Linked DNA regions of Mus musculus. Each later gene encodes a partner of the first gene's protein in a complex. Links are inferred from orthologs where the notes say so. Each region holds a gene or a part of one and is shown in the gene's direction. Other genes may lie near its edges.

The links.
Region 2: Immt (region 1) and Apool share a complex: the UniProt entries of both Homo sapiens proteins name them as parts of the mitochondrial contact site and cristae organizing system (MICOS) complex. The link is inferred for Mus musculus from reciprocal best matches to the Homo sapiens genes IMMT and APOOL.
Region 3: Immt (region 1) and Micos13 share a complex: the UniProt entries of both Homo sapiens proteins name them as parts of the mitochondrial contact site and cristae organizing system (MICOS) complex. The link is inferred for Mus musculus from reciprocal best matches to the Homo sapiens genes IMMT and MICOS13.
Region 4: Immt (region 1) and Apoo share a complex: the UniProt entries of both Homo sapiens proteins name them as parts of the mitochondrial contact site and cristae organizing system (MICOS) complex. The link is inferred for Mus musculus from reciprocal best matches to the Homo sapiens genes IMMT and APOO.
Region 5: Immt (region 1) and Chchd6 share a complex: the UniProt entries of both Homo sapiens proteins name them as parts of the mitochondrial contact site and cristae organizing system (MICOS) complex. The link is inferred for Mus musculus from reciprocal best matches to the Homo sapiens genes IMMT and CHCHD6.
Region 6: Immt (region 1) and Chchd3 share a complex: the UniProt entries of both Homo sapiens proteins name them as parts of the mitochondrial contact site and cristae organizing system (MICOS) complex. The link is inferred for Mus musculus from reciprocal best matches to the Homo sapiens genes IMMT and CHCHD3.

What each region holds. Positions count from the first base shown.
Region 1 is NC_000072.6:71,861,769-71,866,444, forward strand, and holds part of Immt (MICOS complex subunit Mic60), read left to right. Parts: intron 1-576; coding exon 577-712; intron 713-1,372; coding exon 1,373-1,502; intron 1,503-4,676. UniProt on the Homo sapiens protein: Component of the MICOS complex, a large protein complex of the mitochondrial inner membrane that plays crucial roles in the maintenance of crista junctions, inner membrane architecture, and formation of contact sites to the outer membrane.
Region 2 is NC_000086.7:112,309,559-112,315,020, forward strand, and holds the start of Apool (MICOS complex subunit Mic27 isoform 1 precursor), read left to right. Parts: upstream 1-1,793; 5' UTR 1,794-1,863; coding exon 1,864-1,878; intron 1,879-5,462. UniProt on the Homo sapiens protein: Component of the MICOS complex, a large protein complex of the mitochondrial inner membrane that plays crucial roles in the maintenance of crista junctions, inner membrane architecture, and formation of contact sites to the outer membrane.
Region 3 is NC_000083.6:56,606,625-56,611,954, reverse strand, and holds Micos13 (MICOS complex subunit MIC13 precursor), read left to right. Parts: upstream 1-2,183; 5' UTR 2,184-2,286; coding exon 2,287-2,315; intron 2,316-2,931; coding exon 2,932-3,109; intron 3,110-3,262; coding exon 3,263-3,317; intron 3,318-4,113; coding exon 4,114-4,211; 3' UTR 4,212-4,503; downstream 4,504-5,330. UniProt on the Homo sapiens protein: Component of the MICOS complex, a large protein complex of the mitochondrial inner membrane that plays crucial roles in the maintenance of crista junctions, inner membrane architecture, and formation of contact sites to the outer membrane.
Region 4 is NC_000086.7:94,379,996-94,384,671, forward strand, and holds part of Apoo (MICOS complex subunit Mic26 isoform 1 precursor), read left to right. Parts: coding exon 1-38; intron 39-2,115; coding exon 2,116-2,235; intron 2,236-4,676. UniProt on the Homo sapiens protein: Component of the MICOS complex, a large protein complex of the mitochondrial inner membrane that plays crucial roles in the maintenance of crista junctions, inner membrane architecture, and formation of contact sites to the outer membrane.
Region 5 is NC_000072.6:89,564,348-89,569,023, reverse strand, and holds part of Chchd6 (MICOS complex subunit Mic25), read left to right. Parts: intron 1-1,292; coding exon 1,293-1,437; intron 1,438-4,676. UniProt on the Homo sapiens protein: Component of the MICOS complex, a large protein complex of the mitochondrial inner membrane that plays crucial roles in the maintenance of crista junctions, inner membrane architecture, and formation of contact sites to the outer membrane.
Region 6 is NC_000072.6:32,800,998-32,805,673, reverse strand, and holds part of Chchd3 (MICOS complex subunit Mic19), read left to right. Parts: intron 1-1,648; coding exon 1,649-1,784; intron 1,785-4,676. UniProt on the Homo sapiens protein: Component of the MICOS complex, a large protein complex of the mitochondrial inner membrane that plays crucial roles in the maintenance of crista junctions, inner membrane architecture, and formation of contact sites to the outer membrane.

The sequences.
Region 1 (4,676 bases):
GTTCAGCCTGTTTTCTTAAATCAATCAATCAATCTATCTATCTATCTATCTATCTATCTATCTATCTATCTATCTATCTATCTATCTATCTATCTTCCTTCCTTCCTTCCTTCCTTCCTTCCTTCCTTCCTTCCTTCCTTCCTTTCTTTCTTTCTTTCTTTCTTTCTTTCTTTCTTTCTTTCTTTCTTTTTTTCCTTTTTCCTTTCCTGTCCTTTCCCTCTCCTTCCTTCCTTCCTTCCTTCCTTCCTTCCTTCCTTCCTTCCTTCCTTCCTTCCTTCCTTCCTTCCTTCCTTCCTCAATCAGGACAATGCTTCCCAGGCTTGACTGCAGGCCTATCAGATGAGAGAATGTTCTCAGTGGAGGTTTGTTCCTAGATAACTCTAGCTTGGGTCAAGCTGACAGAAAACACAGCTAAGTTCGGACATAGAAACCGACAGAGGTCTCTTGTTCCGAAGCCCGAATTGGCTCATGTTCCATGACCTGAGGATATTCATGTGTTACACTCACTTCAAAACTCTTTAATAAAGGTAGTTACAATTATAAGGAGCCTTTATATTTTTTTCTTTTTCTCCACAGAGAAGAGTTAGAGAAGATGAAAACTATAATTGAAGATGCAAAGAAAAGAGAGATTGCTGGAGCCACCCCTCATATAACTGCTGCAGAGGGGAGACTTCACAACATGATAGTTGATCTGGATAACGTCGTCAAAAAGGTATGTTTCTTTAGTCTTTGTAATGTTTTATAGTTTAAAGTATCTGTTAAAGCATTTTTAAGAATTCAGGAAAATGACTCTTACTATCTCTTTTAAGTTTTTATTGTAGAGTGTTCATTATAAAGTATGGGGCTGGGGAGAAGGATCAGCACTAAGAGCACTGAAGAGGCCCTGAGTTCAGTTCCCAGCAACCACATGGCAGTTCACAGCCATCTGTAATAGACTGTGATGCCTTCTTCTGTCATGCAGGCATACATGCAAATAGAACACTCATATACATAAATAAATACGTCTTAAAAGTTTCATTTTTAACTACTTTTAAAATTTGTGTCAGATGGCTGGTAGCAGCATAAGGGCACTTGCCTCTAAGTATGATGATCTGAATTGGATTTTAGGGGCTCAGTTATTGAAAGGAGAGAACTGATTCTCTCAAGATGTCCCCTGATGTCTACTCACATACTGTGCTGTATGAACACACACACACAAACACAGGTATAACACGCTTTCACAAAACAAGTTGTATTAAAAAGACAAGTTAGTTTGTATTTTCTGATCTTCAGGTTCTGTGTATTGCTTGTAACCCCCAGCTAGACTGGTTTCTTAAGAGTGTAGATGGTGTCTTTTGTTCCATTTAGCCAGAGACCCCTTGTATCTGCTTAGGTCCAGGCTGCTCAGTCAGAGGCAAAGGTGGTATCTCAGTATCATGAACTTGTGGTCCAAGCAAGAGATGACTTTAGAAAAGAGCTGGACAGTATCACTCCAGACATCACTCCTGGATGGAAAGGGATGAGTAAGTACAACTGATTGCCATTTTCTTTCTGTATTTTAGCATCTAATCAACTAATCTAAACCTGCTTCAACTCCAGTCTTTAAATCCCAGTGCTTCTATGTCCCAATCAGTGCATAGGTGTTATTTTCTCTCTGTCACACACAGCAGGTAGAATACATTATTCCTGAAGTTCTAATCATGGTGAGCAGAAGTTCCTCTAGTGCTTAATTCTATGATTCATGATTTGATTCTGATTTGCTACTCAAAAATTAAAAGTGGAGTCTGAGTGATTTTTATTTTTATTTATTTATTTATTTTGGTTTTTCGAGACAAGGTTTCTCTGTATAGCCCTGGCTGTCCTGGAACTCACTCTGTAGACCAGGCTGGCCTTCGAACTCAGAAATCCACCTGCTTCTGCCTCCCAAGTGCTAGGATTAAAGGCGTGTGCCACCACGCCTGGCTGAGTTCGAGTGATTTAAAGTGATGTCTTAACATTAACTCTGTTAAGATACGTATGTTTATATACTTATTCAAATCATTTAGTATTTAAAAATCTTTGGAATGGATTAGTGAAGGCACACTTGAGAATTCTGTTAGTGACCCCAGTTCTTCCAGTTGTTCTCAAGTTCATCACTGTTCTGTTTCAGCCTCCCAAGTACTGGGGATTACAGGCATTCACTGCTGTGCCCACACTAGCTGGAAAACCCATTCTTGTGAGATTATGAAATTGAATAAAAGTAGTGGTATGATGCCTAAGGGCAGAGAAGTTGGTTAAAAGGTGGTTATAGAGCCAGGCATGATTGTGTAGACCTTTAGTCTGAGTCCTTGGGAGGCAGCAAGCAGGAGGATCCAGCCTGGGTTGAATCTAGTCTGGTCCACATAGTGAGTTCTAAAACAGCTTAGGGTTACATACTGAAATCTTGTCTCAGAAGCGTAAAGTTAAGATGCTACAGTCACCTGAGGGTGAAGTGACAGAGCCGTCTAGTGTGTATACCCAGAACATTGATAAGAGTAGGAAGATACCAGGGGCCACTTGTTTAGCAATTGGTTTGGAGATGTGTATCCTCCTAACCCAGCATTTCAGCTCCTGTGTATTTGCTTAAGGAAACTCCCAATGTACATTAAGGCATTATTGTAGTAAGAGCACAGAATTTGAGCGTAGAGGCGTAATTTAGTGCTCAAAGAGTATCTAGCATGCAAGAGGCCCTGAGTTGGAGCCTCAGCATTAAAAAAAGGTAAAAAGAGCCTGGTCTAGTAGCACATGCCTTTAATCCTACCATTTGTGAGGCAGAAGAGGTGTGGATCTCTGTGAGCTTGAAGCCAGCTTGGTCTATATCTCAATCAAGCTCCAGGACAGCTATGTAGTAAGACCTTGACTCAAAAAAAAAAAAAAAAAAAGGGAGAAAAGTGGCAAGAGGATTAGGCTAGAGGGTCTTGCTCATTGTCGAGCACTTGGCTAGTATGTACAAGCCCTGAGTTCAGTCCCCAGCACCAACAAACAAAAAAGAAAATAAACTTTGAAATAGTCAAATGTGCCTTATGTGTATCAGTGCAAGTGACCTGGTATTGTCTCTCTCCAAAGAGAAGACTTGGTGGTATGGATACCTGCTGCCAAAACTGGTGACCTGTGTTCTATCCTCAGGACCCACATGGAGGAAGGAGAGAACAGATTCTCAAAAATTGTTCTCTGACCTCCACACAGTTGCCATGGTATACCCAATCCAAATAAATAAATATATGTAATCCTTTTTTAAAAATTATTTAAAAATACAGAATAGGTTGGTGCTATTGTGAAGTTTAAGAACCTATAAACTAAACAGTTATTTAAGGATATATCTTTATATCAAGTATAAAAGTGAGCTTGGGGTCTAGAGAGATAGTTCAGTACTTAAGAATACTTACTGTCTTTCTGAGGACCAAGGTTTGGTTCCTAGTACTCACAGAGTAGCTGTTGTGAGCAACTCCAGTTTCAGGGGATCTAGTGCCCTCTTCTGGCTCCTACAGGCTCTTGCATGCACATAGTGCTTATAAACTTGTGCAGGCACACATATATTATACATAAAAGTAAACAGTATTTTTGAAAAGTGCTGTGGACTGATAACCCAAAGCATGTCTCCTTTGTTGCTTATGTACTATAGCACATACTATTATGTTTATGTGCCCTGTTAATGATCTTTTACATTGTCTCAACTTTGTTTTTCCTTTGACATAGAAGCAGATTCTTTTAATGAAAAATTCCTTGAATTTAACCCAAGAGGTCCTTTTTTCTTTTTTAAAGATTTATTTATTATATGTAAGTACACTGTAGATGTCTTCAGACACTCCAGAAGAGGGCGCCAGATCCCGTTACGGATGGTTGTGAGCCACCATTTGGTTGCTGGGATTTGAACTCAGGACCTTCAGAAGAACAGTCGGTGCTCTTAACCGCTGAGCCATCTCTCTAGCTCCCTAAACCAAGAGGTTCTTAACAAGCTTCATACTAAAGACAGATCTGCCTGTACAGGCCTATACACCCATGTGTTTGAGGATGCTGAGGCAAGAGGATTGCAAATTTCTGGGCTACAGTGTAGATCTGTTTCAGAATTAAAAAGTAAAATTTGATTGGAGACATAGCTTATGTTCTACCTCCAGAATTGCCAGGGGGGAAAACAGAGGCAAGTCACTGAGGTTGGCAGCTGTCTACTCTCTTGTCACGGGTTCGTTGGGGTTTGTAATCATGATAAGGAATATCATTTAAACTTCAACAGTCAGAGTTTTTGATTTAATTTTACACAGGTTAAATGTAAATTTAATATTAAGTTCACTGTAGTGCTTATTTAAGAAGCTTACTGTGATACACTCCCAGCTTTCAGGAGAAAAAATAACAGAAAGGTAACAGAATCTGAAAAGACTTTGTTCCAAAATTGCCTCTAAAGAAAAATGTTAATTCTAGAAGTATTTGACAGTTGGAAGTAGCCTGCCACTGGAAACTAGTACTAGGATGGAGAAATATTCTGTAAATTAGTTCAGTTGACAGTAATCAAAGAATTGTGTCTCCTAGTAAAGTTTTTAGTTGATGTGCAGATGAGACAGTGACAGACCCCTTCTAACTAGAGCAGTCCTTGTTGTTGGTGATTCTCCTCTTGGAATATTTAACTTCCCTTAGAAATGCTGTCTCTAGCTGAGCCTGGTGGTGCACGCCTTTAATCCCAGCAC
Region 2 (5,462 bases), on another chromosome or scaffold:
TCTCTCTTCTATATATGCTTATTCACAGTTATCCCAAATTGCATCTTTACTGTTAATTGTGAAAATTTTATTAGTATTAAAATTATTGACAAGTGCATGTCAATTAACAATGAACAAATAGAATCACTTAAAACCTCCTCAAAGCACCTGTTGAATATTCACAAATATTAGATTTCGATAATGTAATTAAAAATGTTAAACCTCAAAACCAGAAACTGAAATTGTATAAATAGCTTTATTCTTATCAGGAAAATAAATTCATGAAAAATTTAAATATTTTTCACTATTTTATTTATAGTTTATATAATAGAATTTACTTGATTTAATATTATATTTCATATCGATATTTTATTAGAAACATGTATGCTGTACTTTAAGTGTAAAAAAATATTAAAAACTTTTAGTCTTTTATTCATGACCATTGTTATTTATTTAATAACTTAATAATATATTTCATTATATATTCATTAAAAATGAACCTGCCTTAAGTATCAAATATGTTTAGTATACCACTAATGCTTAGTATATAGTTTACACTTAAATATTTATTAAATGAATAAGTGAATGCAGTTACCTAATACTGTGAAGTTAATGGGAACATAAATGGACACTCTTTGTCTCCGAATTATTCACAGAGGCCTCAGGGAGCCTGTACCCTTACAGAGAATAATATACCTCCTCACAATCTAGTCTCCTGGGAACATCATAATCATCATTTTATAATGTATTTTAGATCAAGTCACACCAATGCTAAAAGCCTTCCAATTACATTTCTTTTTATTCTTTTTTAATTAGGAATTTCCATATAATATATTCTGATCACAGTTTTCCCTCCCTCATGTCCTCCCAGATTCTGCCACCTCTGACCCCGACTCCATGCCTTCATCTTTGGAATACAAACAGGCAACTAAAAAAAAAAAGGATAAAACAAAACAAAAGCAAACAATCCACACTAGTTATAGTGACACAGAGAGCCCCTGTTGTGGTATGTTTGTTTTTTCATTGTTGGGACCTACCACTCTCTGTTCCTGATATTACTTTTGCATAGACCACTTGCCTATATTCCTCATGACTTTCTTCAAATCACCCTATCAGCGCCTTCTATCTGTATGAACTAGAAAACTCCATTCCTTCTCAACAGATAGCTTCTACTTTTACACTTTTAATACATTTTATTTACTCTCTCTCTCTCTCTCTCTCTCTCTCTCTCTCTCTCTGTGTGTGTGTGTGTGTGTGTGTGTGTGTGTGTGTGTGTGTGAAATTTAGGCCATCCGGCTTGTCAGCCAGTAAGTACTTCTTACAAGCTGAACCGTCTTGTCAAGGTTCTGTTTTCTTGAATAGTGTTGAGGCCTTTCTAAAATTTTTTTGTCATTTTCTCTTGGTGCTGTATGTAGGTTTTGTAGTGTACTGTGAGCAACTTCCTGACAGAATTGGTGTTTAGTGACAGTTCTAGAATGAATGTAATTGAATTGCCTCAAGGATTGCAGTGGTGACCTGCTCTTGTGACAGACTATATGGTTGTTTATTAAGGCAGTTGAGTTTTAAGTTCTTATCTAGACAAATCCCGTAAACACCCAGTCATTCACCCAAGAAAACAATTTCTAATTGGAGTGTGGAGACTATTCTTAGAGGTTAGATGTATGAGGACTGGAATGTCAACCGCAAAGATAGGCCCTTTGCTCTGAAGAAGTGCTAACCAATTGACTTTGGCGCCTACAAAAGCAATGGCAGGAGGGCGGGGAAAGGGCAGGGCCAGCGGGCTCCTAGCGTAAAGGGGCGGGGCTATGGTGACGCAAGGCAAAGTGAACTGCTTTGTCCCTCTGCGCTCTCCGTCTGAAAACTTGAGCCGAGAGGGTCATAGGTATGGCGGCCTTTAGGGTAAGTGAAAAGAAACTTAGTTTTCCACTCCCCGCTCGCTCTGAGCCCAAGCATTACAATAATTATAGAAGGGACCGTCTATCGTAACTCATGGAGGGAGCCCCTCAGCAAGTGGCGACCTGGAGATGAGACTATGAGGATCGGAGTCTTTAATCTTTGCAGTCTCAACAAACCTCCCTCGCCTTCTCCTTAATCCCTGCGGGTAACTGTTTACACCGCGGGGCTTTAGTCCCGCAACCCGCTGAGTGAGTGATGAGGAAGGCCTGGCCACTCGCCTCTCTGGAGAAGGAAAACAAAACAAAAGGAAACAAAACAAAACAAAAGTTTGGCGCTGTCTTGGTGTGCAGGGCGGGGCTCCCAGACCGGGACATAAGACTTCCTTCAAAAATTAGCTGTGGGCAAAACAGACAAAAGTAGAGATTTCTCAGAATCTGTGTTGTGAGTGGGATTATACATAGTGTTATTCCCCGTCGAATAACCAGTTTCTTTGGAGTTTTATGAGAAAAGGTGCTTTTGTGTAGAAATCGGGGGTAAAGGAAACAAGTCAGCCGACTCGGGTTTCAACATCAGTTTACAAATACTTAACGCATGTATTTTTTTTTAAAGGTATGTAATGACTCTGTTAGGCTTGAAGGCTATAAGATTGTTATTAATTCAATCAGAGGACATTGACTTTTAATATTTCCCATTCTTCACTGCATTTCTCTAGTTTGGGACCTCATACTTTCTTTCAAACTACGGACCATTCTCTTAACTGGACTCTACCCACTCCATTGCTCTGATGGAATCCATTTTCTCCTGTGCTGCCATAGTACTTATATCAAAATGAGACTCTGCCCTGCTACTTTAAAGCCTTTATAGGCACTCCATTATCAGCTCTCAGGGGTCAGGTTACCCTTCTAGATAACAACACTTCACCTAGCCTCTGCACTCCAGCTTCCTCTCCTGTCACCCAAGAACCCTCTCCTGTGTACTTAACTTCCTACTTTATCTCTTCATGCCCCATTTACCTGCTCTTTCTGCAATTCCTAAAGTGCCCTTGCCCATTCTTATTTAATTTCTAGCATGCACGTCTGACCAACCTTTTGATAATGCAACCCCACCTGACCTCTACAAAGTTTATCCTGGAGAATCACAATCAAGTTACCAAAAAAAAAAAAAAAAAAAAAGCCCCAAATAATATTTTTACAATGTTTAAATAGTTTACAATTTTGTATTGGGTAGGGTGTGGTGTGTAGGCCATTGGTAGGAGATGCTTGCTTCTTTTGGTAAACACAGAATGGCTCTTCTAAGTGTGTGTCCTTGACAACTGTACTGATCCACATGAGAAAGTTTTTGATTAATTAATTAAAACTTTTAAGTCCTTTCTTGGTGGCCAAATCACGAGCAGGGCTGTGGTTCTGAAAAGTTTCTTGGTCCCCAAGTTCAGAAATACACAGTTTTGAAATCAAAACCCAGAAAGATGCATCAAAGTTAGATGAAGGTCAGAGTAGCCATGAAACATTTATCCCTGGTAGAACATAGTAGTTACTTTAGATATAACTTGCCAATTATTTTGGCTAATACATCTGGCCAATGGTCAAAGCTGTGGAAGTCTCACATGTGTTGCCAAGGCATATGTGACCACTGGGGGAATCAGATAAAGGGCTGAGAATTATTTAATCGAACATAAAATGGAGTCAGAAGAGGATGGTGTCACCTTAGTCATTTCATTTCCCAATTTTTATTTTAAAGTTATTGTTAAATTTTTGATCTTGACCAAGTGATAAATACTAGTTCCTGAGTATCATTAGCCTAACTGAGGAAATTTTCTATCTGATGAACTTTAAAAGACCATTTATTATATAAGGCTCTATAGCAAGTCTCATAATAAGGGGGAGTAAGGGACCAGGCAAAACAATGAAAAGTATTGTGAGCCATGGGTTTTAATAGTTTTCTGGTACCAGAAATTATTTCATTCATGTTTTTGATTTAAAATAATTTTTGTAAAGTTTTTTTTTTCTTAAATGATAATGTTTGATTTGTTAGTACAGAAGCAACAAGTCTCCCTTACTGTCACACAACCTCTCCTGGTTTGGAGAACTGTTTCTGTCAGAGACTCTATCTGACCATGGCATGTGTTAAAGGAGAATCTGAAGGTGCCTGGTGTCTATCTGCTTGACAAATTATCTGTTGTAGGCTCTCTCTTTTTTCTGATTAGAGCCATAGTGTACACGGCTACTGCCTATCTATCATCATTGGAAAACTGAAAGGGGTAGCCCCCTGTACGTCTGGTTGGCATATATTTCCAATTGTGCTCATGGCGGAGGATACAACTCGAGACAGTGGCTGCTCAAGTGCTATTAGCAAGGTGAGATGCATGGTCTAGGCGATTTCTCCAAATAATTGTTTAGATTTCCTAAGGAAACTGACTTTAGGGCTAAAGTTTATTCCAGATTCCCGATTCTGGGCCACCCTTGATGAAGTGTTGTCACTTCTGGTTTTGATCCCAGGTCAGTTCTCAAACCACCCCAACCCAGCATCTTAGAATTTGCTTATTGACCTCCGAAAGGCTTATTACCTTAAGCTGCTGTCTTCTGTATATCCTGGTATCCATTGTACTTTCACCAGCTGTTTGAAGATTAAATATTTTGCAGTTTTAATGCCAAGTCCTGGCTCTGAGTTGCTTCTACAGCAGCTCCTGCAAACTATCAGTTGTGCCCAGGAGCACCAACAGCAATCATGAGAGCTGTCCATCCAGAAGGTCAGCACAAACCAGAGTCCAATATTGGTCTAAGTCACCGGAGCTCCAGAGTCGTTGTGAGTTGAGGCGTTGGCCACAAGCTGAAAGATGTCTGTCTCTTGGTTATCCCCTCAGCCTTGGTGGTCTGTGGTGGTTTGGTGCCCCATAGCGCTGGACTGTGGACTGTGGTACTCTGTGGTAATCCCACTCTGCTGCTTTTGGAGATGTTGTAGCACACAGTGTTAGTCAGCTACTGTGCAGTAGAAGGAAATTGGAGGCTTCTCTAGCAGTGACATTTGGCTAAGACATGGATCTTTTGCTCCTTTCCTTTTGCTAAGAAAAAGTCCCTCTGTGGAAACCCCTTGTCAGCTGTCATATGTTGTCTTTCTCACATCATCCTTCAAGCAGGAAACTAGAAATTTGAATGTAGATGTTTTTGTAGAGAATTCCCTTTCAAGTATAAAATAGTTATCATGGATTAACCAAAGCTGTTCTAGTTACACATGATGCCTCATGTCTTTTATCCCTCACTGAGTGCACTCAGGAAGCACTCAGGAAGCAGAGATAGATTGCCGAGTTCAAGGCCTGCCTGGTGTACAGAGGCCTATATAGAGAAAAAGAAGAGGAAAGCTGTCCTTCTATCCCTGCTCCATCCCTGCCATGTGGTAGGAAATGTCTTCGTCACCTTTATCACCTCCTCCTTTTCTTCTGTTCTCTTGCCTTCCTCCTTTTCTTTTTAACCCATTGAAATAAGGGCCATTCAGTGAAGTGTGGGTATAGGTGTGGAGTCATCCAGTGGAGTATGGTCTGCAGACTTGGGGTTAGACCACTGAGGAAAACTGACTCTCCCCTTCCCTGCAGT
Region 3 (5,330 bases), on another chromosome or scaffold:
GGAAATGAGCAGGACCTGCTGTCCAAACCAAGGTGGGGGTGGGGTGGGGTGGTAGAACACAGCAGGGGCTGGACTTGAATGCAGGAGGGAGGCTAAACTTGAGTGGGAGCTGAGGGCAGAGACCAAGAAGGGCAAGGGCGGGGCCTAGTATCCAAGAGGCAAGCCTCTGGCCCATGGGGAGTAGGTATTTCTTGATGCCCAGGGCGCCATCCTCCAATGTCCCCCTATATTTGCAGGTACACAGAGTATTTTGCTGTATCTCTATCACTGCAGTTTCTGTTAACAAGCACACACTGAAAGGTATATTCCTGTTGACATTTAGCCAGGGAAGAAACAGCCTCAGGTCTGGAACAAGTTATAAGGAAGTTGGATGAAGAAAGTGCTCTCAAGTTCTCCCATTCTTCCCTCCCACTCACACTCACTTCCTACCCCCATCCCAGCCCTGCACCCACACACAGGGAGGCTCGCCTTCCGTGTGTGAGCCTTAGTGGGACATAATGAAGATGTCCTGCTGCCAACATCCTTCCTTCTTCCTCAGACCACTCACTCTGGTCATTCTGGGAGTGGGGGGAAAACAAAGCCCTGGGCCCCTTAAAGGGTCCTCCAGGAGCCAGTCCAAACTGCCCAGTCTGCTCAGCTTTGTCCCAGGTCCTGGGCCTGTGCACTGGCTGAGTTCTTGCTTGGACGCTCTTCCCTAAAACTTACTTCTTTCAAATCTTAGGTCCAAAGATACACTGTCTAAGCGCTACTGGCAATGCCACATGCTACCTTGCCATGTTCTAGGCTCCTCTCACCCATTCTTAGTCATGAGGGTTGGTTTATTTTAGTTCTGGGTGAAAAGGAGAAAATGTCACCATAGACACTGGACATGTCTGTAAAAGCAGGAATGAGGAGGCCCAGGCAGGAGAATTCAGCTTTGGTCCATATGAGTTCCAGACCAATCACGTACAAAGAATAAGACCCCGTCTAAAAAAGAAAAAAACCCACAAAGCTGGGTGATGGTGGAACACACTTTAATACCAACACTTAAGAGGCAGATGCAGGCAGAGCTGTGAGTTCGAGGCCAGCCTGGGCCACAAAGTGAGTTCCAGGACAGCCAGGACTGTTAGACAAACCTTGCCTCAAAACAAGCAAGCAAACAATAACCAACCAAAGGCAAACCAAACCAAACCCAACACAAAAATAAGTAATAAAGAAATAAAGTTGTGTGTGGGGGGGGTCTTGTGTATGGTTGAATCGGAATGACCCCTACAGTTTCATGTATTTGAATGCTTGGTCCCCATTTGGTAGAACTGTTTGGCAAGGATTAGGAGATAAGTTTTCTTGGGGCAGGGGTGACAGTGGTGTGGACTTTAAGGTTTCAAAAGCCCACACAATACCCTGTAGTCTCTTTCAGCTTATGAGCCACAATGTAAGCTCTCAGCTGCTGCTCCAGCGCCATCCCGGTTTGCCTGCTGTCATGCTCCGCGTTACGATGGTCATGGTCCTCTGAAACTGGAAGCAGAAAACTTTTCCTTCTATTGAGTTGCCTTGGCCATGGTGCTTTGTCAGGACAACTGAGAAGTAATTAGGACAATAGGTCTCCATAGACAATTACAAGGCATCCATGCATCCATGGTGCACATCTGCTCAAGCTCACCTTGCAACCGAACAGGGATCTACATGATGTCCACTTGGCCGCTAACCCCTCCTGCGGCACTTCGCACCCCAGTGTGGCTCCTTGTACTCCGGACCACCCACCGCCAACCCGTTCTCACATGACCCCAAGACTTCTACCCGGCAGGGATCCTCCAGCGCCTTGGCCTTGGCAAGTCAACAACCTTGGCAAGCGTCCATCTCACAGGCCATCTGTAGCCTCTCCAAGCTTCCTAGGTTAGAGCCACACCCCTAACCGCTCACGTGAACCAAAGGCCTGCTTCTCTGGAACAATCCAGCCCTCGCGTTGCCGTGGTAACCATCACTTAGGCTTGCTTCACCTGGGGGACACTCAATTCTCCGCGCGGGCGCGGGGAATCCGACCAGTGTCTTCCGAGGGCTCGTCTCTGTCGTGCCTCCAGACTACATTTCCCAGGAGCCTTCGCGGCCTAGCCCTTCTTTGGTCTTCCGCCTAACTAATACATTTCCCAGAAAGAATTGCGGCAGCCACGGACCTCGACCTACAAGAGTCTAACTCCATTGCGGCTGACAGCGACCACTACATTTCCCAGGAGTCTCAGCAGCGACACCAACCGGAAGCGGCGGGCGAATTACTTGTCCTTGCGCGGCGAGTGAAGCGAGAGACTAACCATGGTGGCTCGAGTGTGGTCGCTAATGAGGTGCGTGGACAATCGTGGAGGCCCTGAGAAAGTTCGGGGCTGTAGGCATCTCTGCCTCGTGGCTTAGGGTCCTGCGACGGCTCACTTCCGGTTGTTACGGACCTTTCTCACGGTCTGTGTAGGGAAACTGGCTTCAGCCAGCCCTTATCACCCTACTGCTTCAATTTACTCTTAGGTGCAATTCAGATGCGTAGGCAATCCTGCCCATCTCCCTCCGTAGCTGACTTGAGTAACTTGCGGGGAAGCTCCGCCAGACACCCTGGAAGGTTTTGTACCAGGGATCTTGAGTGTCCATTATCCTTTGCAGGGTTTCGAATGACCCACCCTGTCTCTCTTTAAGACTCCGTTTACTGCTAAAAGTCGTGTCACAAAGGCAAATGAAATGATCAACTGGCCGGGAGTGGTGGCACACGCCTTTAATCCCAGCACTTAGGAGGCAGAGGCAGTCGGATTTCTGAGTTCGAGGCCAGCCAGGTCTACAGAGTGAGTTCCAGGACAGCCAGGGCTACACAGAAACCCTGTCTCGAAAAACAAAACAACAACAACAAAAAATGATCAACTGTCTGATCTCTGAGATCCTGCCCCCCACAGCGTCTCCCTTCATGTATTCCTGAAGGTTCCTCATTAAGGGAAGTGTGGCTGGAGGAGCAGTCTACCTTGTTTATGACCAGGAGCTGCTGGGGCCTAGTGACAAGAGTGAGGCTGCCCTGCGGAAGGCCGAGGAGGTTGTGCCACCAGCAATGTACCAGTTCAGCCAATATGTGTGCCAGCAGACAGGTCTGGAGATGCCACAGGTACCTTGGCTGGGAGTGGGTGGCCTACAGGTTGCTTCTGGGTGTCCTTGGGGCCTCCTCCACCCCTGCTTGGTGGAGTTTTGTGTTTCTGGGTTTGGGAGACAAGGCTGTGACCTGTTTCCCGTGTCAGCCCGTGTTCCTCTTTCTTCCCAGCTCCCAACCCCTCCAAAGATTAAATTTCCAAACTTCCGTGATTCCTGGAACTCAGGTAGGCCCCTATGCCCCTGCTTGGGGGGATGCCTGGGCACCCCAGCCTCTCTCCCAGCCCTGTTTACCTCATTGACCCTTTCTACTCCTCCATGTTTTCCTGTTTGTGTGCCTGTATATCACCTATGGAACTAAGTAGAAAGGACTGGGTATGGTGGCCCATGATTGTGACTTTAGTATTTGGGAGGCCGAGGCAGGAAAATTGTAGTTTCAAGGCCAGCTTGATCTATAGCCAGGACTACACAGGGACATCCTTTCTCAAAAATAGGAAAAACAAAATACTTAAAAAAACCCTAAGGGGTTGGGGTTGTAGATCAGTGGTAAAGATCTTTCCTAGCATGCATAAAGCTCTGGGTCCTGTCGTCAGCACCCCATAAATCAGGCATGGTGTTTGTAGGTCTGTCATCTCAGCACTCAGTGCAGGCAAGAGAATGAAGGATTTCAGGGTCATCTTTGACTACATAGGGAATTCCAGGCCATATGGGATATATGAGACCTTGTCTCCACAAAGAAAAGCTGGATATTGTTATACACACCTATAATCTCAGCACTGGGAAGAGCTGAGGCAGAAGGACTGAGAGTTTGAGGATAACCTTGGAATATATTAGTGAGATGAAACCTTTTAAAACAGAGCATAGGGAAGGGGTTGTGGTTTAGATCCACACTGGAACTTGTCCATCAGGAAAGGCTAGTCCCATTCCTCCTCCATGTACTGCTCTTGCACTCCCCAGGGGTTGGCTGGCTGAGTGGCTCTGGCAAGGTGGGGACCTTATGGCACCTGTGTGCTGTCTCTGCAGGCATCATCTCAGTCATGTCAGCCTTGTCGGTGGCCCCCTCCAAGGCCCGAGAATACTCCAAGGAGGGCTGGGAGTACCTCAAGGAACACAGCAAGTAATGGATGCCACCTGCCCCAGCATTATGGGGGTCAAGACCAGGATGGCAGAGACATCCCAGTGGGGACCTCACTCTGAGGGCAGCTTCCAGCATTGCTGGCCCAATAAAGGACTTGGGAATGGTCCCCAGCCGGTTTTCTGGTGGGGGGGGGATGTAGAGCCTTTGCTTTATGGGCAGAGTCCTGGCTAACAGGGATCTCTATGTTCCAGATGTAATGTTTGGAGCCCAGAAAGATTTTAGTTTTAGTTTTTTGTTTTAACTTTTAAAAATTTTGTGTGATAAAAACCATGACCAGAAGTAGCTTGGATAGGAAAGGGTTTATTTCAGCTTGTTACTCTCAGGTCATTCTCCATCACTAAGGGAAGTTAGGGCAGGAATCTGGAGGCAGGACTGAAGTAGAGGCCATGGAAAATTAGTTTATAGGCTTGTTCTCCATGGTTTGCTCAGCCTGCTTTCTAATAACACCCAGGACCACCTACCCATAGTCATCAATCAAGAAAGTGTCCCACAGTCCAATCTGACGGAGGCATTTTCTTAACTTAGTGCTTGTGTGGGTGTGCTTGTATATACACACTGGCACTGTCTGTTGTGAGCTCTCCATCATGGGTGCTAGGATCTGAACTAGCCATGGAACCATTCTTCCAGCCTGTACAATGGAGTAGGTACTGTGGTGCGGGGAGCCTGGACTTGGGGCCCTTAATAGGGGCTTCACTTGCAGTGGACCAGTTCTTTTTGACAGCCCCATTGCCCAAACTAGTCACAGCCACTCAGGACTCCCAGCCTTGCCCCCTGAAGGTCCCTTTTCCTAGGGACCCTGCCCCAGCATTCCTGTCCCATGCTGCACCAGCTGTCTGAGTCCTGAAAGTCTCTATTAGTATATCAGAAGTCTGTGACTGGCAGCCATGCCCAGAAGGGGCTGGAGTCATGGAGAACAGTGGCCAAGGTGTGAGGACTCCAGGCCTAGCCTCTGCCACATGGAGTTCTGCAGATTGTTATGTGACCACATCCAACAGGATATAAGCCACTTTAGGAAACAGCCCATTACTCTTAACGGTGTTCCCAGAGGCTGGGTGGCTGGATGGACACAGGACTGTCAGGCTCACCCTGGTCTGTGAAGGCA
Region 4 (4,676 bases), on another chromosome or scaffold:
AGGACTCGCCTCACAAAAGTTACATGAAGATCGATGAGGTAATGATCTCATGAGGTGATGAAGATACTAAATGGTACACTATAAACATCTGACTTAGTTAGGGAGAGTTTTTATAAATTATATATCAAGATGATAAGACTTGTAGTTTTATTTTTTTTACTCTTTGAGATACTGAATAGTAATGTATTTCCTTGGCACACTTAGAAAATATTTAAAAAGAAGACCTACCTATACATTTTCTGATAGTTTGTTTTCTCCGTGGGAAATTGCTAGAAAGCACAAATCACTTTTCCTAGTAAGTACTTATTTTCTATTATTTTTATGCAATATATTCTGATCATGATTTTCCTTCCCCCAACTCCTCCCAGATCCTTTCTGTCTCCCCAATTCCATACTTCTGTCTGTATCTCTCTAGAAAACAAATAGGCAAAGAAAAATCCCAAACCATAAGAAAAAGAAAAACCATGAGAAACACTGTGTGTGTGTGTGTGTGTGTGTGTCTGTCTCTCTCAAAACAAAATCTGAAAACATAATATACAAACAGAAGATTAGTAAGACAAAAAAACCAAAGCAATCAGTATGAGACAGAAAGTCTACAGAATTACCATTGAGTACGTTTGTATTGACCACCTACTGCTGGGCACGAGGCCTGCTCCTAAGTGTGTTTAATACACTCAGTGAGACTTCATTGGTGAGAACTAGTTTTTCCTTTGCAAGAGGATGTCATTTGGAGATAGCATCTTGATTAGGGACAGGAGCCTGTGTCTAATTCCTTTTCTGAGCACTGAGGCTCTGTCTAGCTTAAACCCATACAGGCCCTGTGTATGCTGAGTTCATATGTGCTTCAGTCCTGTTGGGTCTGGAGGACACGATTTTCTTGGAGTCCTCCACTCTCTCTGGGTCTTACAGTGCTCCTCTTCTGTGTAGCCCCCTTAGCCCTGAGGGGAGGGGTTTGGTGAAGACATCCCATTTAGGGTTGACTGTTCCAAAAGCTCTCACTCTTTATACATTGTCCAGTTGTGGGTCTCTGTACAACTCACTTTTTGGCGTGGCCTGCCTGATTCTGGACTGCTGATCCAAAATATTCACTTTTTTTTCTTTCAAAGAATTTAAAGGCTTAGATTCTTTCTGGTTCTTGGCAAAATTAGAGATGCTTAACTAAATATTTAGTACATACTAGATCAACGAAATAAATAAGATATCTTCTCTGCATTGTTTATATTCTTTATTGTCTGTATTTCCCAGTAACTATTTGGAATTTCTACTTTGGTCCATGTCTGTTACCTTGGAATAAAGGGATGTACTGAAGTCCCTGGTGGCCAGGCGAGATTACTTGAATAGTGTTCTATAAAGCTAGTTAGTTAGCTTCTCTTTCCTCTCCTCTCAGGCCTTAGTACTGTTAACGGGGAAGAGGTGGCTAATGGTGGCTACTGAGAAGGCTCTTTTCTAGGTGGGCAATGAGTTTGCTCACCTGCTTTGATCAGTAGCAGCCTGATATTTGCCATATAACCAGTTATTCTTCAGTTCTCTCAGCCTTTTTTTTTCTTAAAAAAACCTCACCACCACCAACCAAATGCAAAACAAAACCTATGAGCTGGTAAAATGGCTCAGTGGATAAAGGCACTTGCTGCCAAGCCTGATGACTTAGTTTGATCCCTAGGACCCATATGGCAGGAGAAAACTGACTCTTGTAAGTTGTCCTCAGACTGCCACATGTGCACCATGACACATACCCTCCCCGAAAATGTAACCCCCCACCAAACTCCTCCTTTCACTCATTAGAATAGCAGAATTTTTTCCACTTTAAGTTTAAGGTAAAATATCACTCCTGTAGACTGATAGAGGGCTTGCCTTGCATAGGTTTAATACCCCACACTACCAAGACAAAATGGTAGAGTAGGTAGGGAGAAGACAGAGCGCCTTGCAGTCCTGCCCTCTTGTCTTTGTCTTTATTGAGGAAGTAAGGTACAAAGGCCATCTGAAGTAAAGTTAGAGGTTGCAGCCCTTAGGGTAACTGTAATTTATAAATTATTATAGACGTATTAACCTACAAAACTGCTCCTATGTTACATGATCTCATGGTATATGCTTTTCTTTTTGTTTTAATATGTGTAGCTTTCACTCTACTCAGTTCCTGAGGGTCAATCTAAATATGTGGAGGAGCCAAGGACTCAACTTGAAGAAAACATCTCACAACTCCGACATCATTGTGAGCCATATACAAGTTTCTGTCAGGTACATCTACTTAAGAGTTAATAATGGAAATTCTATATTGGCTGTAATTTTTCATTTTTTATTGTTTGTTTCTTTCCTTTCTCCCTTCTTTCCTCCCTTCCCCCTCTCTCCTTCGCTTCTCTCTCGCTTCCTTCGTAGGACCTCACTCTGTAGAGTTGGCATGGAATTCACTACATAGCCCAGACTGTCCTCAGACTGACTGACAATCTTCCTGCTTCATTGACTAGCACAGGTGCTGGAGTTAACAGATGTAAGCCATCATGCCCAGCCCTGAGTTCATGTTTTTAGAAAAAGGTGTAATAAGGATCCAAAGATAAGCCTGCCTAATTTCTAAATGTCCCTTAATGCTACCCGGAGAGCAAGTGCAATCAAGCCTGGCACTCTGCAGCAGTGAGGGGAAGTTAGCTCTCATCAGAAGAGCTGTGGCACATTGCCCAGAGAGCAGAGGGCTAAGAATTACCTTACCTTGTTGGTTGGTATTAAAAAGCCATTGTGTATATCAGGGTAAACATGTGACACCAATGGGAGGAAATGAATAAAACATAAGCATGTATATCAAAATTGTGCTGTTATTGCTGGGGCGATAACTCAGTTGTTCCGTGAGGACCTGCGTTTAGTCCTTAGCACCCAAAAAAGGTATGCATCTTGGCATAGACTTGCAGCATTGGGGTAGCAGAGATTGGTAGATTTTTGGAGTTCACTCGCCTAGCTTAGCCTGATCAGCAAGACCCAGGTCTTTGTGAGAGATTCCATCTTAATAAACAGTATGGCTCCTGAGAAATGACACCCAAAGGTGAATATCTGCACCCAAACTTGCTGTCACACACAGGCACCACACACCTGTATATAACACATACCTGTACATGCTTATCATGGACACACATACAGAAAAATGAGATTTTTCTCTCCCTCTAAAAACTACACATCTCTACAGTCTGAGCATCACTGATTTGAGAGTATTTTGGATTTGGATTTTCATACTAGGGACATCCATGCTAAAAATACAAAAAAACAAAAACCAAAAACCAAAAACAAACCAAAAAACCAAAACCAAAACCCCAAGCCCTCTGAAACCTAACAAACATGTGTTCCTATACATTTCAGATCATGGATACGCATGCAGGTGAGACTACCTAGGTGTGGTGGGGCATACCTTTAATCCCAGCACTCTGGAGGCCTCTGCTGACCTGGTGTACATAGTTCCAAGACACTTAGGCTATATAGAGAAACACAGCAAGCAAAACCAACCAACCAAAAATCCCAGGCATGACTATAGAGTATTTGGGTACTGTAATAGGAAAGTAGATGCCATACGTAGTAGGGTAGAATTACATGTTTGAGTATTGAACTTTCCACTCCAGTGACTACTACAGGTACAGCTTGACTTCTGTCATCGTGCATGTTTTAGGTTCCAGACACTTGTTGTTAAGCAACCGAAAGTATTCTGATTTTAAATATCTGAAACCAAATTTTGCAGTCTATAGAATGCTTTTGTAGGCTTTAGTACATATTCACTGTACTTGCTCATGATTTTGAAAAGGAAGGAAAAGGAAGGAAAATAATATGTTAATGTATATAAGAGGATCCAGGTTTATTTTAATTAAGATCTGCAAATTCAATTTTCATCCAAGACTTTTTGTAAAAATTTAAATTTCATTAATTATGCTGTTGTTGAACTTTTTTCTGTTTACCAATTGAGGAAGGAAAAAAGCATATTAACTCTATCAATGGTCTAAGCACATTCTACTAGACACACCTTACCAGTGAGCTGCACCCCAGCCTGCTTGTTCTGTAAGACAGTATTTTTGTCAGCTGGTCGTGGTGGCATATGCCTGTGACCCCAGCACTAAAGGTATTGAAGCTGCATGGTTGCAGCCTGCCTGAATATATAAGGAGATGCTGTCTCAGAGAAAAAAAGGCGTCTGAACACTAAGCTTCATGATTCCACCACAAGCCTTCTCTTTTAAAAAATGTTTATAGATTCTCTCATATACTACAATCTGACTGCAGTTCCTCACCCTCCTCTCCTCACCACCCCTTCCCACCGCCTATCCATGCCTCCTCTGTTTCTCTTCGGAAAAGGACAGGCCTCCCAGGGATAGCAACTGAGTATGGCATAACAAATTAGAATAAGATTAGGTACTTTCTCTCATATCAAGGCTGGATAAGGAGAGAAGGGTCCCAAAGGCAGGGAAAAGAGTCAGAGACAGCCCCCGCTCCCATTGTTAAGAGTCCCCAAGAACACGAAGCTACACAGCTATAACATATATGCAGAGGGTCTAGGTCAGTCCCATGCAGGCTCCCTGGTTTTCAGTTCAGTCTCTGTGAGCCCCTATGAGCCCAGGTTAGTGGATTCTGTGGGTTTTCTTGTGGTGTCCTTGACCCCTCTAGCTCCTTCAATCCTTCCTCCCCCCACTTTCCCCAACTTTTGCCTAATGTTT
Region 5 (4,676 bases), about 18 Mb from region 1:
CTTGAGAACTCACAACTGTCATGAAACAGTACCATTTTCTCTGTCCCGAGGATGTGTAGAAAAGTGCCTAGGGCACAGAGGCCCCTTATGTTTAGGCCAGCTTTCTGATTTTTTGACCCATTAGTTGTTACCTAGAGAAATCACTGCAGGGGACGGTGTTCTTAATGGGGGCATAGTCAGGGGTAAGTACAGTGCCTGCCCTCTGTGCTCTTTATGCATGGGCTTCCTCATTGTCTTTGAGGAAACGGCCTCTGTATGGTCCCAAGGCCCAGTTTGCTGGGGGGTTTGCCCTCCAGCATGACAACCCTAGGTAAAGACTCATGGTCTCAAACGTTACCCTCCTGTATCCCAGTGGTATCTCCAGGAATGTACAACCTCCACATTCCCTTCAGTAACTTTTAGCAATTTTAAAGTAATACATGCTGATAAAAGATTTTTTAAAACTACATAAAATAAAAACAAATCCCCATAGACTCATTATCTCAGTGCAACTGCTGTGGCTCTTCTGGGTGTCTCTTGCACACAATGTCTTTACCTTAACTTGTTTATATTAACGACCTAGGCATTTTCATATCTTGCTGCTTTACTTTCTATTATAATTACTTTCCATCAGTTACACCTGCTTTCAAGCACGTTTATTGCTAATCAGATAGTTTGTTCATTCTCAGTTTTTAGATTCAACTTGTTACATATAAATTCAAGTTAGCACTGAAGCTGTGGTATAGCTTTTCATGATGCTGTGGCCTTTTCTCTACCATGACCTTGCTGCTTGCTGCTTGTGCTATTTTACTTCTATGAACAACACAGAGGGCATCTTAGTCCTCCTAGCTTTTATCTGCTGTGATACACTAGCAGAATGCCAGGATAGGTCAAAGGTTACGATTGTACTCCAGACAAAGTTAGATGTTTAAACCTCAAAAGTGCTGCTGTCTAAAACCTTCAGGCTCTCAGCCAAACAAGAATGCCATACCCCACCCTGCCTACTTGTTTGAAAGGATGGCTCACATGGGATTCAACCCTGCCAGAACACTCATTCTTTGCCTTTGGCTAGCTCTCCTGTTCCTGATCTGAGTTGTCCTAAATGTCATTGTCCCTTGTCTAGGGGGCTGTCACTGAAGCTTCCACTCAGGTGAAAGAATTGGCTTATGGTTTCCTATTCTGTTCTGGGCAGCCAAGGGCCAGAAACCCCACCCCTGCTTAGACAGGTACAGTGAGCAGGCAGGTCTTTTCCTACCCATGTTCTTCTAGCCATGCCTTCTGCATCAGCTTCTCTCTGTTTCTCTCTGGCCTAGGTTCCAACAGGAGCAGTTGGCAGTCCAGGATGAGATGGTCAGGGTGGCAAAAAAGGAAAAAGAGGCAGCTGAGAAGCACTTGAAGGCATCCCTGCCCAAGAAGAAGGCCAGCCTCACCCATGAGCAACAGCAGTCAGCTCGACTAGTGAGTGTGTCTTTCAGAGCTGGCCTGTCTGCCAGTGTGTGCAGGAATGGGCAGCAGCTGGCTACATCAGCTGTGGCTTTGAGGTGTTTTCCAGGCACTGGCAATTTGGAGTCTTCGGACTCTTGACTAAGTGGTTTGCTTTGCCACCTTGTCAGAGTCCATTCTTGTGGCTTCAGGCCTCTAGAGCCATGGGGGATTGAGAGTCTCATTTGTCATAGCTATCACTGGTGTAAGGGCTGCAGTGCTGTGTGTGTTGGGAGGGTATAGGGTGGGGTTTGGGGGCATGCAGTGTATGATACCAAGAGCATCATTTTCACAGCAAGGCAGCCCAGGTGCAAAGCCTAGCCCTTTGCTTACAGCTTCAGCACATTGAGCCTTGTTGGAAGATCATGATGCTCGCACACAGGATTGCCCCAGGGGTCAGAGATAATAGCTACCCAGGGCTTAGCAGGAGCTGGGAAACAATGAAGGAGTGCTATGACTGCCGCTGCTGTTATTAATGCATCTAATTGATCAGAGCTGTTAGTCAGGATTCTTCAGCTTTAATGCAGAGTTTATTTTACAAGTGAGGTGTCTAGGAGCACCCGGTGGGCCAGTTCAGCAGCTGCTGGCATCATCAGGGATTCGGCACTCCTCCTCCTCACTGTTTCCCCAGTCAACCAGCCACACTCAGGATGACTGTTGCTACAGTTGCTACCTCATGATTACAACAGAAGAGCAGCAGAAGAGAATCTGTGCCAGCCTGTCTGTGTCAGCAAGGACAGGTTTCCCGGCAGCACTGGTCTTCCATTCCATTGGTCTGAATTGTACTGGGCACCCAGGGCTAACATTCAAACACAGAGGGACTAAGGAGACTGTGCTATCTGCAACTAGGATCCTTTCATTGCCACGATTGAGAAGTGGACAGACAGACCCAGGCTGATGGCAAGTGGGGTAGTCTGGCTGTTGGTAGTATCTAATGACAATTGAGTTGGAGACTATGGGTTTCAGACTAGGGGCAGCTTTGCCTCAGTTATTAGGTCAGCAGCCTATGCACACAGAAGACTGCAGAAATTGGGGTGAGATTGTAACTCTGGGATGAGATAAGCTAACAGACCTAATAGTCACACAGCTGTGGGAAGCATACAGTGGGTGAAATGCTCTGGAAGGTATAAGCCCTTAGCTCCTGGCTCTCAGGACTGGGGAGAAGATAGAAGTTTGAAAGAGGCAAGTTGGTTCAAGTCCAGTGTTAAGTGGCAGAGAGGAGTTATTTGGGATTGTTGTGACCTGCTGGTAGGCAGAAATGACATTGACCTTTTCCCTGGAAGATGGGTAGCCACTGGGACTAGGAAGCAGTTAAGACAAATGGTAGGATACAGGATGGAGACAGTCAAAGCTTGAGGTCAGATTATGGAAGGCTTTGGGTGACCTGATGAGCTAACAACAAAGCAACCCTCAATACCTCTAAAACAGTAGAGACATTCTAATAGTTATAAGGATGGGAATGGGCTGTCTGACTTGTGCTTTTACAACAGAATCTGAGCAGTTTTTAGAACAGTTTCCCGAAGAAGAGGGTGTCTGCAGAGAGGCAGGCAGCCTGACAGCCAGTAATACAGAAGATCACTTTACAGAGATATAAGGTTAATCATGGACTGAGCAAGGCAGGTGTCGTTTACTTGGGACAGTTGTAGAGCAGAGCATGCCGCCCGCTTCATTCTCACCTGAAGGTGATAATTACAGTGAAGGGAGTTGACAGCCTCTCTTCCCTCCACCTGCAAAGGAGAAGAGGCCTTCCCTCCTGCCTTTGCTTTCTGGCTGTCTCTAGGGGAAATGTGGGAAGGACTGGGTGCTCCTGGGTGCAGGTGTTGGATTTTTGTGTGCTTGGTAATTAATTGCTACCTTAGAATGAAGCAAATGTGCCCTACCAGCTTTCTCCCAGCTTCCTAGATGGATGCCCTCTGCAAACTATTTCCAGGGAATAGTAGAGCAAGTCCCTTCAAGCTGAAAATATTTTATCTACTTTTGTAAGCACTTCTACTTTTGGCTGCTCAACATGTTTTTCTCCTTATGACTAGAGTTCAGATCTTCTTTCAGGAGCTTTCCTGTCTCCTGTGGTTTCGGTCTCAGTAAGATTCTAATTTCAGTGCCTCTGTGGAAGCTAGATCTGGGCATATGTTCCAAGTTCAGCGAGGGATAGATAGCCAGCCCCTTCCTAGGGACTTTAGTCTGAACTGAGTACAGAGGGAGAGTGGGAGGCCAGGGTGGCAGTTATTTATTGTAGCCTAGGTGGGCTGTGAGGCCCCTTATACTGTTAGGCTATGTCTTTTGCTCTCTTCTACCCCTCTAGGGTACACTTGTTTTCTCTCTGGTCCTCCTGCCATCTTGAAGATCATGTCATTTGCTGAGAGCTATCAGTTCACTGTTTATTGAGTTTGCTGGAGTTGGTTTCTGTAGGCAGTGCTGCAGCAGGTGCACCTCTTATACGAGGACCTGTGGCAAGTGAATCATGGAACTGTCTAGAAGAGATGCTGTAGTAGCTGGTTCTGGAGACCTGCGGCCACCTGTAGGAGAAGGGAACTAAGGCCCCTTTTTGTGTCAGCAGTTAAAGTGGTGGGCAGGTGCTGTTGCCATCAGTGCAAAGGAAGCAGCTTGCTATGGATGGGTAGGGTTGGCAAGTGCTTTCAGTGGAGAGAGTTTTAACTATGGCACATTTAAATGAGAGGAAAAAACATTTAAATGAGAAGAAAAAAGATGGAGAAAAAAACTTGAACTAAGTATGGAGATTTTTTTCCCCTCATGCATGCCTTCTATGCCTCCTGTGTACAAGTGCTGAAAGGCTAGGGATTGATTGGCAGCCTTCAAGGCAGAGCTCTGGTGGCCTGGTAGTCTGGAAATGTGTGTGGATCTGAGGCACACCTAGTGACTGCTGGAGTGAATTGGCTCCCAAGCCTCCTTTGTGCCTCTGTGACTCAGTGTCCCTAAGTCCCACACCCTTGGGTCTGTTGCCCTGTCTGGACTTAATGAGAGGCATCAGGTATTTGATGCGGTCTTCTGCCCTCTCTGTTTCTCTCTCAGTTTTATAGTATTGATTTTTCATCCTCTTCTGCATGAGGGAATGATTGAGTTCATTATTGGGAAAAGTTTCATAAAACTAATGAGAAGGAAAGGTAATACGTTTTATAACTTGATTCTGCTGACAAGTGTTAACATTTCCCATCTAATGCAGCAGTAATGAGCAGTTAGTTCTGTGTGCCACACCT
Region 6 (4,676 bases), about 39 Mb from region 1:
TTGGTCAGTGGTTTTCTGGGGCTGTGTTTCTGAAAGCATAGCTGACTCCTTTTTGAAGCTGATGTTCATTTATTGGGGATTAGGGAAGCTCAGGTCCAGAAAAATCCACAGACATCCAGAGCGTCAAAGGCTTAAAAGAATTGAAACCCCTGGCATTGGATTTAAATTCTGCTCTCAGGTATTAGACAAAGAAGTAAAATAATGAATGAAAAAGTAGAAACAGTGTTGTGTAGAATCAATCTTTTTCTCTGTATGTCTGCTTTCTTTCTGGGGTAGTGGGAAGATTGCCCCAGGGACAGTCATGTGGTTTGCATTTCCACTCCAGCAAAATATATATTAGTTTATCGTGTTGGGTTAAGTAATGAGGAGACAAACTGTCACCCAAGGGTCTGCTTATTGATGGGAAATATTCCCCCATGTTCTCTGAGGCTTTTGTTTTTAGAACCCATTAAACTTAAAATAATGCTACCTCAGGACTATATGGAAATACCAAATTTAAATTTCAGAGACAGAACTGATAAGATTGGAAGCATTTTTTTATTAAACAAACTAATTTTTTTAAATATACAAATTCATATATTAATGATTGTTTTGCATATTTCCTCTCTCTGTGGTTAGTCTTTGTACCTTGAGTTCTGCTGCCATACAAACAAGAATATTTTCTGTGTGTAATTTATTTGACTTATTATTTTCAAATGTGTATTATAAATTGTGTGGAAACATTTATGTTTGGCATGCCATTCTCATGGAGAGAAATTCTACTAAAATCTGAGCGTTGTAAATACAACTGCAGAAGTTTAACCTGGAAGATTTTTAGATGTTTGCCCTTTTTTTTCCCCCATTCAAGAAGCTTATTGTATGACTTCTATAAAAATTATCCACGGTGAATAGTAAAGGTCACAAAACAAGACATAATTCCTTGGAATTTACATTCTAATAAATGTAGGCAGGTGAATTGCACTAGATTATTGCATAGTCCATGACATGGGCAGCGCAAAATGCTAGCACAGGGTCACCTTAAAGGAGGAGAAAACCAGGGAGAGTTGTTCAAAGAAGGTTATATGAGCTACGCTTTGAAAGATGTGTAGTGATTTTCAGTTACATGGGAAGGGTGGGAATTTGGGTGCCAAGTATTTTCTAGCTTGTGACCACAGATGTGAGATCCGTAACTGGCCCCTAAGTATGATTTACTCAGGCTGCAGCAATATTCAGGGTCCAACAAGGGCTAAAGGCAGGCAGGAGCCTGATCATATCTCTGCTACCCTTGTACTTTATAGCAATATAGAGAGTCTGACTTGAATCGATGGATTTACAAGGAACTCTCTAGATGACCTGTAGATGCAGGGAGAGGGCTGGGACTATAGACACACAGACCAGAGGTCATTGCTTGGATCTAGGAAGTATTTTGAATTTTTGTAATAATGGTGAGTATGGAAGATTAGACTGCAAGGACCAGATCTTCATGGCCTGCTGGCCATGGGTATGCCAGAAGAAGTTGGGACTGGCAGATTTCTGACTTGCCAGACCAGGCTGTAGAAAAAGAGCACTGGTGTTATTTGTAGGACCTCGGCTTATGTTTTACATAACTTTTAACCTTGACCATTAATGGGGATGCCTTGTCTCAATTATCCTCATTTTTTGTTTCCAGGCGGTATGAATATCATCCAGTCTGTGCAGATCTGCAGACCAAAATCCTCCAGTGTTACCGTCAGAACACCCAGCAGACTCTCAGCTGCTCTGCTCTGGCTAGCCAATACATGCACTGTGTCAACCATGCCAAACAGGTGGGTGTGCAAGCTGACTGGGGCACCTGAAAAGTAGAAAGCCCAGTCATCCCAGTGGGTGGGAAACTTTCTCAACTCATCTAGAATCTCTTAAATCATGTTTTGGCCATAAGCTCTATCCAGTTCACTGTCAGAAGAGTCCAGATTCTAGGTAGGCCTAGTGGCTTAGGCCCGTGATCCCAGCTGCTGAAAAGACTGGGCAGGGCAACTTCAAGTTCAGGGGCAGCTACAGAGCGAGTTCAAGGACAATCTGGACAATGTCATGAGACCGTGTCTCAAAGTAAAAGTAGGAATGGATGTGCAACTCAGTGGTAGGGTGCTTGCCTAACATGCTCAAGGCCCTGGGTTCAAGCTCTCCTGAACTCTCCTTGGATTTATGTGCAGGAGCAGAAATATATTTAAAAATATGCTTAATTGCTCTAAACCTTTCACTTTCTAATGGTCCCAGTGGTCTTATCCTCATGGTCATTACCTCACATCCCTAAACAGCACTGTCCAAACTATGGATGAAGGCTATAAACTAAGAAGCAAGCACACTAGGAGTTCGTAAGTAGTAGGAGGTCTCACAGGATTAAGAGAAATCTACTCATCTGTTACTGTCTTAGTCAGGGTTTCTATTCCTGCACAAACATCATGACCAAGAAGCAAGTTGGGGAGGAAAGGGTTTATTCGGCTTACACTTCCATACTGCTGTTCATCAACAAGGAAGTCAGGACTGGAACTCAAGCAGGTCAGAAAGCAGGAGCCGATGCAGAGGCCATGGAGGGATGTTCTTTACTGGCTTGCCTCCCCTGGCTTGCTCAGCCTGCTCTCTTATAGAACCCAAGACTACCAGCCCAGAGATGGTCCCACCCACAAGGGGCCTTTCCCCCTTGATCACTAATTGAGAAAATGTCTTACAGCTGGATCTCATGGAGGCATTTCCTCAACTGAAGCTCCTTTCTCTGTGATAACCCCAGCTGTGTCAAGTTGACACAAAACTAGCCAGTACACTAACCATTCCTCCACCAGTTAGTAGAGGCTATTATTTAAGCTGGAGAAAGAACCTGAGTCATACTTAGGAAAGGCTTTCCTCCTTCTGCATGCTTCACTTGACCCTTTATGACTGCATAATATGACACTCATAAGATGCATATTTTCTCTAATTTATGTGCTTTAGAAAGCTAATGATATCCCAACAACAAATTAACAGTCTCAACAGGTCACACAATTACTTTACAGTTGGGTACATGGGATTTGAAGAGACACAAGTTGTTGGAAACTCAGTTCTTTCTGCTGATGAACTCCCTAGAGTTGACCTCGCCCATCTCAATCTAGCAGTTGAGTTATACAGCATGCCTTTCCACAGCCCAGTTTGCTCCTGTTATAATAATACCACTTAGTGTAAATCTCCAGTACTGCATAAATATCTGAAGGGAGGGTACTATTGTCTGGGTATCTTGGAAATAACAGTAACATTAAGTAGAAAAAATGTAATCAAGATTAAAAACCTGTGTTTTCTTGACACGCCTCATCCCTTGCTTGCAGCCACACTTGTATAGCTGAGTATCTGCCAGGGTTCTTTAAAGGTCTTGCTAGAGGTAAAGCTACTGATGTTAGGGTAGTGTGTGTTGTTTGTCACAGAATCCTCTGATGAGCTCTTAGCAAGCCTGCAGCCTTCAACAGCAACCACCTGAGCCCTTGGGACTTGTAGACTGACTCGTGGATTTTTCTAATGTGATAATAAAGACTTGTGGAGTTGGACTGCGTCATTGATAGAAAGGTGATTGTGTCACCGTGCGTGTTTCTGGAGTGGTGTCTGACACAAAGTGTCTTATTTCCAGTGTGCTTTCTGCTGTCGATGAAGTGGCAACACTGAAGGTCTTGGAGCATTGGCTCCGGCCACTCTGCCTGGTGAGGTCATGTTGAATCACATTTAGTGCTGTGGTGTCCTGTTTATGGAATAAAAGAAAAGCGATTATTGCAACAAGGTCACATATGACACATGGTACTGTAGAGGGGAGAATCTGGCAGGCCTGGGTTTGGAACCAAGCCCTATCTTTTAGGTCTCTGGCCTTGAGCCTTGGTTTCTCTTATTAGTGAATTGGGTCATGATGTGATGATTCCAGTATTAAGTACGCCTTTGTTTTTCCCGAATTCAGGATCATCATTTAGGAAAGCTATGAAATTAAACTGGTAATTCAAAGAGACCCACTCAGTTTCCAGCCTGCTGTGGCTCTCCTTACTCACAGCTAGTCTGTTCAGAGTGTCTAACACTTCACAACTCTAGGTTAAGTTATGTGGAAGTGAATGGAAACCAAGTAATGTCAAAAAGATTAGAGTCTTGCCATAAATTGGACAACACTAAGATACCGAGAACCATGAAGCATTGACCCTTTCATCTCCTTAAGCCTTAGGATTTCAAGGTCACCTCACACCCACTCTCTTACTTGTTTTATGACAACCTGAGATGAAAATAGAAATGGTTTCTTTCATCAATGTGCAGCCCAGAGCGTTGACACCTAGGGAAGTCATGATGGTAAATTTAACAACTAGTTCAAGATGCACCCTGCTATCAAAACAAAATTTTAAGAATAGGTTAAGTGATCTTTGTTTTTTTGAGCAGGTGAGAAGAGACATCCATCATCCACATGTACAGAATGAGGCAGTGAGGGAAAATGAGACCAGACATGGCGAGATGAGCGAAAGGCGCATTGAAAGGCTGCTGCAATGGTACTAGAGTCTGTAGGTCACGTCACACATAGGGCATGAGATGATAGTGCCCAGGATCAAAGGGGCTGCTTGGCCTGCGCCCTGAAAGGCCACCCGTGTTGGTTTCAGGGACGTGGTATTTCTGCATCGACAGCAGCTGTCATTCTCTGATACAAGCTGTCCTTTCACTCCCTGTGAAGA